Caenorhabditis elegans: one gene and its partner. The protein of the gene in region 2 interacts with the protein of the main gene of each other region in a biochemical or structural test. Each region holds a gene or a part of one and is shown on either strand. Other genes may lie near its edges. The genes, in order: mip-1 and glh-1.

Evidence for each region.
Region 1: the proteins of glh-1 (region 2) and mip-1 form a complex in vitro, tested with the Caenorhabditis elegans proteins (one study listed by BioGRID).

What each region holds. Positions count from the first base shown.
Region 1 is NC_003281.10:4,790,981-4,795,950, reverse strand, and holds mip-1 (HTH OST-type domain-containing protein), read right to left. Parts: upstream 2,866-4,970; 5' UTR 2,846-2,865; coding exon 2,727-2,845; intron 2,677-2,726; coding exon 2,557-2,676; intron 2,502-2,556; coding exon 2,297-2,501; intron 2,244-2,296; coding exon 1,917-2,243; intron 1,867-1,916; coding exon 1,530-1,866; intron 1,483-1,529; coding exon 1,378-1,482; intron 1,328-1,377; coding exon 1,077-1,327; intron 878-1,076; coding exon 671-877; 3' UTR 528-670; downstream 1-527. Other genes in the region: Protein mel-28, read right to left, coding at 3,667-3,705, 3,755-3,892, 3,938-4,165, 4,242-4,553, 4,601-4,903, 4,950-4,970.
Region 2 is NC_003279.8:6,852,647-6,858,113, reverse strand, and holds glh-1 (ATP-dependent RNA helicase glh-1), read right to left. Parts: upstream 3,637-5,467; 5' UTR 3,303-3,636; coding exon 3,263-3,302; intron 3,206-3,262; coding exon 2,771-3,205; intron 2,728-2,770; coding exon 2,653-2,727; intron 2,605-2,652; coding exon 1,354-2,604; intron 1,306-1,353; coding exon 1,202-1,305; intron 1,156-1,201; coding exon 974-1,155; intron 926-973; coding exon 721-925; 3' UTR 578-720; downstream 1-577. Other genes in the region: sacy-1 (RNA helicase), read right to left, coding at 4,050-4,169, 4,217-4,413, 4,458-4,705, 4,768-4,886, 5,016-5,189, 5,238-5,310, 5,356-5,467. UniProt on the Caenorhabditis elegans protein: Probable ATP-binding RNA helicase. May act redundantly with the P-granule component glh-4 to regulate the formation of the granular structure of P-granules in embryos. Plays a role in positively regulating the localization of pgl-1 to P-granules.

The DNA of each region.
Region 1 (4,970 bases), on a different chromosome or scaffold from region 2:
CACTAGACAGCATAGAAATATAATATTCTCTTAAAAATCAATATTGGAGAACATTTTTGGATAAGAATTCTTTTACCCTTAAGGGTCAATCTTATATAGCGCGTCGTTATCCAGAGCACTTTTTGTCTCTATGTTTTACACCGTTCGTTGATGTTATCTCATCTTCAAAACGAATTTCCTGCAGTTTCTTAGTCTCTATAGTGCCACGTTTTGCGTGCGCGTAGAATAATAAATTCATGTTTTATGGGTCTGTCTGTGTGCACAAGCCGACCGCCCCAGTTTTCCCCCATATTCGAACATCGTTTGATGCCAATCTTGACATGGCAGAGAAATAGGAAACTGAATGCATTGGGGAAGAGAAAAAGAGAAACTGCATTTCGCTTTCAATTATTTGAGTGGCCCGTCGGAAGAGCTCTCACAGCTACTCTACAATTTTGCATCTAAAGGGGTCACGCTATTTAAGCTAACAAATATTTTTTCATGTTTCAGAACACATTTTTCTTAATTATGCGAAACAAGAATAGAATGCACCGGAAAAAAAATTTATAGTAAAATTCGTGAATGACTCGCATCCAAAATATAAAAAAAACAATGTTACTATTAAAACTAATTAAAAAATAATTTTACAAAAACACATAAACAGGATATTTTAAAGCACGTAAAATTTCGATCACCAACTATCCTTATCCGACGGCAACGCAGCATTGATAGCTTCTAGACACTCATTATCAATTGAAGATGTAGTCGATTGTTGTGGTGAAAAGTTACGAGAACGTGCCAATCCTGGTCCTTTTGACATTGGTGGGAGAACTACACTTCTAGTCGTGGATGGCACTTTTGTAGAAGTTTTGGCACTCTTTCCAACAATAGAAGCCGCCTGAAATTCATTTAGCTTATTCATCACAGTCGGCATGGTATTTTCTAGCATAGTTAAAAATATTGTTTTTGTTTTAATGAACATAAAAATTGCAGTATTTTAGCAATAAAACAACAAAAAGCTAGTCTTGATCCGAAAACGGAACGATACCGCACTTGGTATATTATAATTAATGGAATCTAGCAAGAAAATTACTCACAATAACTTTTTGGTTTTTAATTTCCGTGAGAGCAAGAGATATATGTCTCCCTGGAATCGACGATCCTTTTTCTATCTGTCTTCCAAAGCTCATTTTTGGCAGTTTCTGATCTGTTGCAGAGGTAGAGGCAGTAGATAATTGCAATGTTGAAGGATTCGAACTACTGGTAGAAGTATCTTCAAGTGATTTGATACACGTAGTTTTCATCACAGGAACAACAAGATCCTTACTCGCTTTCGAAGATGCCAGATCTGATGAATAAAAATTATTAGTTTTTTTTAATGGAAACTTCTGGATTTACCATTTCGAGGCTTATTACTTCCCCGAGCTGTGTTTTTAATCGGGTTAGACACACCAGGAAGATCTTTTGGAGTTCCCATTACGCTACGGGCACTCACTGTGAGTCCTAAAATAAAATATTACAATCTACTAATTATTTTCAAATGTAAATACCTTTCATACTTTCTGCGACAGACACTATCGGACGAACAACTGGTATTTGATACCGAAATCCTTGTGAAATCGGTAAGCTCGATGATGCGACACTTGAAGTGGGCTCATGCAGTGTCGTTGGTTTCTTCTTTTCAGGAGCAGGTGGCATTGATTTCTTTAACGCAGCTCCAAAATTTGTGAACCAGGGTTCCTTCACTTCAACTCGACCGTCTGTTCCGAGTTGCAGCCATTCTTTGAATGAAGTCTTCACGAACATCATCCAGCTCTTGCTAAACAACTGGAGTGGATCAATTGATACATCGAAATGCTTATCGTAGATTTCGGTCAATTCAGAGAGCTGTAATATGAAAAATCAGTTGCAATTTGCAAATGTTGAAAAAAATTTACATGGACATCAGCAGGATATTCCAGAAGCATCATGCGCTTAACGTTGTTCGAAAAATCAACGATCGAAGGCATACACTTCGAGTCAATCCCGGGTTGCAAAACTGGAACAGCCACTGTAGACGACAGTCTTTGAACAACGGTTACAGGTTGACGTAAAAGAGGACGCTGAGCAGTCGCACTAGGAGCAATTTTGACCGGACCAACAGTGGTGCTTCTCGTTGTATGATGTGAATAAGCTGATCTATTTGCGAAACTAGAGTGACCAGTTGCAGTGGAAGGGCGGACAGGTGGGTGTCGAACGGTATTGCGATACCCAGTTGCTTGTGGCTGCAATATTATTATGTTAATCTTGAACATAGTTTTTTTTTTTCAATTTGAACCTTTGCCGGGTTCGCTCTGGCAGATGAAGCTGGATACATAAATGAGGGTTTCGGTGAGCGCAAGTGAGCTGCATATCCGAATCCACTTTTATTATGGAATCCCATAGACGTAGCTGCACGAATGGGCTTTGCACCTTTTCCACCTTTCTTTTTTTTCTTCTGCTTTGAGATCAGATTGATTAGGTCTTGATTGTCCTCATTTGCGCTGAAAACGAATGTATTGAGTTTTGACTCGAATAAGAGCAATATATATTTCTCACACAACACTGAAAACTCCGGATAAATTTTGTCGTACATCTTTGTGCTCTCGCAGAAGTTGAGCCATATCTCTCACACCAGCCTGTACATATTTTCCAACATATGTGTAGCCAAGCGTGTCGCTAAATAGTTAATACATTAAATTTGAGAAATAATGCCGCGAAACACAAACTCCATTCTCCTTTCTACTTGATTTGGGGTCGCTCCTTCCTGGAATGATAGCAGAACACTGTACACGTCGCGCTCGATGCGCGCGCGTATTTTCTTCTTGGGATCGTCAGCTTCCGTCATTTGCCAAGTGAATGTCACTTCTGAGAGAACATTTTACAATTTGATCAAGTATTAACGTGAAAAAGATACAAAAATGTTACAGTAAATTGTAAAAAAGACTCAGACCCAGTCTGATGCACGGATAACTAATTTTACAGATGTTTACAATACGTCAAGATCGTCCTTACATGCTAACGTCTATGAACAACGTTAAAATTATTATTTTAACATGAAAATATCATCAAAACATAAAAAAAACAAGCTGTTAACAGAGAACAACTGCGAAGAATCATTTTATTTAGAATGGGTAGCCGAATTTTAGGACAAGCCTTTTGGCGCCACATATTGCGTAGAAATGCACACGCAAATGACTGTTACAGTAACCTTTCGAAAGATTTAAATTAGTTTTTATAAAATTGGATTTTTGCAGTGAAGAATATATTTAACAATGCCGTCTTTTTTCTACACGAAAAAACGTTTTATTGGTGCATTAAAAAACAAAATTAAATAATAATTCATCATTACCACGAGAAATTAGAAAAAATTCTGCAGAGCTTCGTTTTGGAAATTTTTTAAATGTGGTATAAACACCTGTTTCGCATGCTAGGAACAATCGTTCACATTTTCCAGTTAAAATTAAATTATCGAATTTGTTGCTTGAAATTTAAAAACTATAACGCCATCCTGAACTCTCCGTTCTATGCACCTTTATTGCTTTATTTCCAATTCAATGTTAATGCCAAACAATTTTATTGGAACTTATTTCACATGTGTCAGTTGAAGAATTTCAAATAATAAAATAAATAAGGACAAATAGTTAAAATTTGAGCTGTGTTCGACCTCTATTGTTTAGCACGGCGAGCTGAACGCAGTAGAGGAGTCTGAAAATAAAACACCTCGTTTGAGAAATCGTATTGCTGAAAATATTACCGCAGCCGTTTCTTTTCTCTCTTCTTCACCCTCTTCAATATTTTCCAGAACGGTTTTGGGCGGTCTTCCTCTTCCGCGTTTTGGAGTGGTTGGCTCTTCCACCTCTTGTTGTACATCAATAGATGATGCTCGAGATCTCTGAAAATAATAATTTTGAAAAAAAATTATGTTTTGGGATCATACCGTCACACTTCTAGACTGTTTACTGGTACCAGCTTCATTAACCGCGGCATTTTTCTTTTTTGGGGTCTTCTGCTTGCTATCATCATCGATCGATTCGGAATTTGCTCTGGATCTAGCCGTTCGTTTGGAAGACCGTGTAGGTGTGGCTGGTTGTTCGATATCTGGAGAGGATGAACGATCTTCTTCATCTTCTTGATTTTCGAATATCGATTTAGGCTTGGTGCCACGCTGAAACGAAAACAAATCAATTTACAATTTATGAATACAACATTTTTAATTCAAAAAAATAATTAAAAATGCTTACAGCTTTACTTCCAACTTTAGGAGATCCTGCATCCTTTTTGGCGGGTCTTCCTCTTTTTGGCGTCGTCGGTGCCGATTTGTCGTCCTGATTAAAGTCGATCGTTTCCGAATTGCCCCTCTTTCTAGAAGTTGTACGTTTGGTAGAAGCAAGTGCAGATGACGATGGGTCAACAGTTGTATTTTTGACAGATGCAGAGCGAGTGCTTCTTGATGCAGGCCGTTCCTCCTCCGCTTCTTCTTCTTCTTCTTCTTGAACTTCCATTGTAACCTCTAGCGGGGATGGCATCTTTTGGATGATCGATTTTTTACCGCGCTGAAAATGTTCGAATAGTTGTATGATTAAACGATTAAACAACGTACAGTTACACTTCCAGCTCTACTAGAAGATGTACTAGCTGCAGCCTTTTTCGTGGGAGTTCTTCCGGTTTTTGGTGTCGATCTTCCATCATCTTCAGACGACTGCTTGCTAACAACCTCAGAAGTTGCCCGAGTCCGACGCCGAGTTGTCATCGCAACCGACGTCTCATCTGGTTCGGCAACAGTATCATTCCTAAGCGATGTGGAGCGAGTTCTTCGTGACGCTGAACGACTTGGAATTTCAGACTCCAAAACAGATTTATTTGCTGCCACTGTCTTCTGGGCTGATGCGGATCGAGTATTTCTCTGGAAATATTGAACTAAATTTTTAAAGAAATCACGAGAGACTTACTGATGGAGGTCTATCTTCCTC
Region 2 (5,467 bases):
AAGAAAAAATGAGATGACGACTTGCAGATAGGAGCTGAAAACATTTTCGCAAAAAATTGTATGTTACAGTACCCCTCTCGCAGTGGGACCCCACCACGTGCTACTGAGAATACACCTTACTACAGTATTACTAAAAATATATTTGAAGAAATTGATAGACAAGCACACAGGAAATGCCACAGCGAAACAGAAACTAAGCATCATCTCTTCCTCTTTTCCCTAATACTCTTCTTCTCAAACTCTATTTCCTGATTGTGATCACTGAGCAAACCGTAAATGGAATGGCAAAGCCAACAGAAAAAATACGGGAGCAAAAAAGCAGGTGAGAGGAAAGCGAAAAAACGAATGTAAATCGACCGGAAATGAGCGAGTGAGAGAAGAGCAAAAAAGAAAATAAATAAAGAATTGAGCCTAAAGTTTCTGTATGCGGAAAAATGCTCGCCGCGGAGAATCGGAAAACAAATTATTGAAGTTGATTAGCTGAGAGAGCAATGTGATATGAGATCATATTGCCTAGTTTGCTTGTTAAAATTCTTTTCATTTAATATGCAACTAATAGTTGAAGTCGTGAACAGCATGATATTGAACAGAGTTTATGCGGCGAGGACTATAACGACAACCAACACCAACAAATACAATTAAAAATCAACAAGGGCAGGATAAAATATGGGGGAACTGACAGCATTAATAAATGCGAAACACTATCAATTGGTCGGTTTTCTACCAGCCTTCTTCATCTTGAGGGACTTGAGTTGGTACACTGGACCCAAATCCACTAGCTCCGTAATTGCCTCCAGCAGCACCTTGCATCCAGTCTGGAACAATCTGTTGTGCGTCGGCGAGAACACCAACAAGTTCGGACAGAAGACTGCAATCCTCCGAGATGAAGCTTGTAGCTCTTCCAGAGTTTCCAACTCTTCCAGTTCTGAAAACAATGCTTGCATTATTGAAACATTAATAAAATATAACTGACCTTCCGATACGATGGATATAGTCATCAATGTTGTCTGGCATGTCATAGTTGATGACATGATCCACTCCTTTGATATCAAGTCCACGTTCAGCGACCGCAGTAGCAATAAGAACAGGTTTCGATCCATTTCGGAATTGTCTCAAAGCTTCTGAACGCTCTCTCTGCTCACGGGCACCATGGATCTGTACATTTTGAATTAAAAAGCGGTCAAAAATGAAATATACCAACCGTGATAGCTGGAACTTGAGCCGATGACAAAATTGAAGCCAGTGTATCAGCCATTGCTCTTTGAGAAACGAAGACCATGGTTTTCTTTGTGTAAACTTCGGCACCTGAAATATTGAAATTTATTTCATCAAATAAGAAAACGAAAAACTCACTTTTCTCGGTCGTGTAACTGTCGATATCGATTCCCAGAAGCTCTAGAAGTTTGTCCTTCTTCTCGCTTCTTTCGCATCTCTCGAATTCCTGTAGGACGCACTTGTTTGCAGCTCCAATCTTGTCGATTGCAATCATCACGTAGTTTTCTCTGAGAAAAGCGCGAGCTGCTTCCTGTACAGAATCGGGGAAAGTGGCACTGAACATGAGTGTCTGGCGATTTTCTTTCCTCGGCATACTGTCATAATTGACAATAGTTTCGATGTCAGTTCCGAATCCCATAGCATCGATCATACGATCAGCCTCGTCAAGAACAAAGAAGCGGCATTTGTCAAGCTTGATGGTACCCTCTTCACAGAAGTGCTTGATTCTTCCGACAGTTCCGACAATGATCGTGGCTCCCTTTTCGATCTGACCCTTATTATAACCGACAGCCAATCCTCCGTAAACTGGTTTGATCTCCATCATTGTTTGATAAGCAAACTTTCTTCCCTCGTTGTAAATTTGATCAGCGAGTTCGCGAGTTGGAGTCAAGATGATGCAACGGGGATAGCAACCGCCTTCTCCGGCAGTGTTCAGATTATTATCGTCAATGAGACGAGTCATGATAGGCAGAAGGAATGCAGCGGTTTTTCCTGATCCAGTTTGAGCACAAGCCATGATATCATATCCCTGATGAACAAGTGGAAGAGCATATTGCTGAATTGGAGTGGTCTTGGAGTATCCAGCATGAGCAACGTTTTTCTGCATGGTCTCCGTGAGATTAGCTTCCGCGAATGTCTTGCAAGGTTTGATACCGACAGTCTTCTCGGATGAAGTCAGTTTAACTTCGGCATCGAAAAACTTGTTGAACATAAGGCCTTCCGAAATTTTCTGCATGTTGAAAACGTCCTCCATGTTGTCTTCGACTGGCACGTATGTCGCCTTAGGTCCTTCTCCTTCAACACCTTCCCTTGGCTTGGCTGGATTGGGGCACTCATTCGAGCGATGACCTTGCTCGCCACAATTGAAACATCCACGGGGTGGCTCCGGACATTCAGCAGAGCGATGTCCCTCGCCTTTACAGTTGAAACATTTCATTGGACCACGTTCTTCGCCTCCACCAAAACCACCGTCCCCACCGAAACCGTCATTTCCTCCATTGTTTCCAAATCCAGCTCCGCCCCCGAATCCACCAGTGCGACCCTCACGCGGCTTGCGTTCTTCTGTACATTCACGAGAGGTGTGCCCGGGTTGCTGGCAATTGTAGCACACTGAAAATAAAACAAATTACTGCCAATAAAGTTATATCAAAATAAAACCTCTCGGCTCTCTTTCCTTTCTCGGCTCTGGACAGTCACTCGATCGATGTCCTGGCTGTTGGCAATTGAAACAATCTGAAACAAACGTAATTATATAAAGTCAATTTAAAAAACGAACTATTGTTTCTCTCTCCGCCGCCATGTCCTCCTTCCCCAAAACCAGAGTTGCCACCTCCAAAGGATCCTCCTCCACTTCCGAATCCAGTTGCACTACCTCCAAAGCCACCTGATCCTCCAAATGCACTTGATTTTTCACCGCTTCCAAATCCAGATGTGGCAGTACTACCACCGAATCCAGAACTGGCTCCTCCATACGGCGATCCTCCTGTACTGCCTCCACCGAAGCCGGATCCACAAGTATTTCCACCTCCAAATCCAGAACCGCCAGTCTTTCCTCCACCGAATCCAGATCCGCCAGTGTTTCCTCCACCGAATCCAGATCCGCCAGTGTTTCCTCCACCGAATCCAGTACCTCCATTTTTACCACCACCAAACCCAGATCCTCCATTGTTACCACCACCGAAACCGCCTCCACTACCGAATCCAGTTTTGGCTGAAATAAAGTTTTTAATCAAAATAAAACCGGTGGAAAGTTCAAAATAAAACTCACCCTTAGCAGCACTTTCGCTATCACTCCAACCATCAGACATTTTCGCAGAAAATTAAGATTTTTCCAGAAAATTGAGTTGAAAACAGCAAAAAGAATTAGGAACTGTCCCAAAATTTAGTAGATGAGTGTGTCGAGGTTACTGTAGTTGGGGCGCGTGGCGAAACCTAAACGGTGTGAAAGTCTGTGTTCCTTTAAAGAATCGACTCTTTAAGAGGCACCACGGTTTCAAGATCTGATGGGATTCCGGATCTACGTTTTCCGGATCTACCATTTCCGGATCTACGTTTTCCGGATCTACGTTTTCCGGATCTACGTTTTCCGGATCTGGCACCGTGCCAACGCACAAAACGCTTTTCAACGCACGACTTTTTTCGAAATTTTCTTCTAGAAGAAACGCTTAACAACACGCGACGCGTAACATCGGAGCGTCGTTGTCACTTTTTTCTTCGAAAAAATAGCGTTTTAAGAGTTTGCACGGTGCCAGATCCGGAAAACGTAGATCCGGAAAACGTAGATCCGGAAATGGTAGATCCGGAAAACGTAGATCCGGACTCCCATCAGATCTTGAAACCGTGGTGTCTCCTTTAAAAAAAAGAATTTTGAGAATGCATTTAATTCATTTTTCTTTTTCAATGAACTCGATCAATTAATTATTTTCATGTTTTCTCGGAAATCCAGACTTTTTTTAAACATGAAATAAATAGTACAATTCTGACAAATATTTTTATAAATGTAAACAAGAAAACAGTAAATAAATAGATTGAGATACAATGTATGAATAAAATAATCAGAAACCACCATCGTCGCCTCCACCTCTTGCCAATGCTTGCGTCGTTTTGTTTCCGATTCCAGCGAGTTTTGGACAATCTGTGATGCGATGACCCAGACCGGAGCAGTATGCGCATCCCTGAAAACATGTTGAACTTCCCGATTTTCTAAATGTTTTCTAACTACCTTTTCCGCATTTGTGCCAGCTGGAGCAGTTCCCTCCTCGTCACCAGCCAACATTTTGAGAAATTCTGGAAGTTCCTGCCCTGCTTCTGCGAGTAATTGTTTCAAGTCGGAAAGCACTGACATCTCCGATTTTTTGTTGATAAATGTCGTTGCGAGACCTTTCCGTCCGGAACGTCCGGTACGACCAATTCGATGAACTGAAAATAAAAATTCAATTATGAAAAATAAATAAGAAATTCACCATAGTTCTCAATATCTTCAGGCATGTCAAAATTGATAACATGTTCAATTCCTTGGAAATCGAGTCCTTTTGATGCAACATCTGTTGCCACAAGTACATCTTTCTCATTTTTTCGGAATGCCTCAATTCCAGCATGACGGTCACTTTGATCTTTTCCTCCGTGAATTGAAGCAACTTCAACTCCTTTTACAAGCAAGTACTCGTAGATATTGTCAACGTCAACTTTCTTTTCGGCAAAAATCAAAACTCTGAAATATAAAACCGTTGCCATATTTCTAAATTAATTATTTTCTGATAAATAAAATCTTACTTGGGAGAAGTCTTTTGAAGGCATTCAAGTACACGAACCAATTTGTTTTCTGATCGAACAAACTCAAGCTCCTGGAGTACGTTCAATGAAGCAGCACCCGCACGTCCAACATTTACGACCTAAAATATTTATAATTTACAGACAAACTCCTGAAAAATTATTCTTTAAGAATTGAAGAATGACAACTTTTGGGAGTAGGTTAAAAAATTATATTTTTGAAACTTCTCGATTGCATAAATAAAACTTACAATAGGTTTGACCAGTGCTGATTTTGCGAAAAATTGAATCTTTCGTGGCATCGTAGCCGAGAAAAGGAGAGTTTGCCGTTGAGCTTTGAAGAAATAGAAAATTGATTTAATTTCATCTTCAAATCCCATATCAAGCATTCGATCAGCTTCATCTAGAACTAAGTAACGGCAAACCTGTAATAAATTGAAGCAATTTTTGAAATCTTTGAAGTTATGTCTTACTTCTAAATTTATAATTTTCTTGGTAAGCATATCAGATAGTCGTCCTGGTGTCGCAACAACAATATGAATACCACTGAAAATAATGAAAATCATAAAATTCGAAATTCTAATCACTCACTCTCTAACGTCTTTAGCTTGTTCGCCAATTGGGACTCCTCCAATACATAATCCAGCTCTCATTTCTGGAAGTCCAGCTTTTCCAAGAGCATCAAACATTTCAATGATCAGGT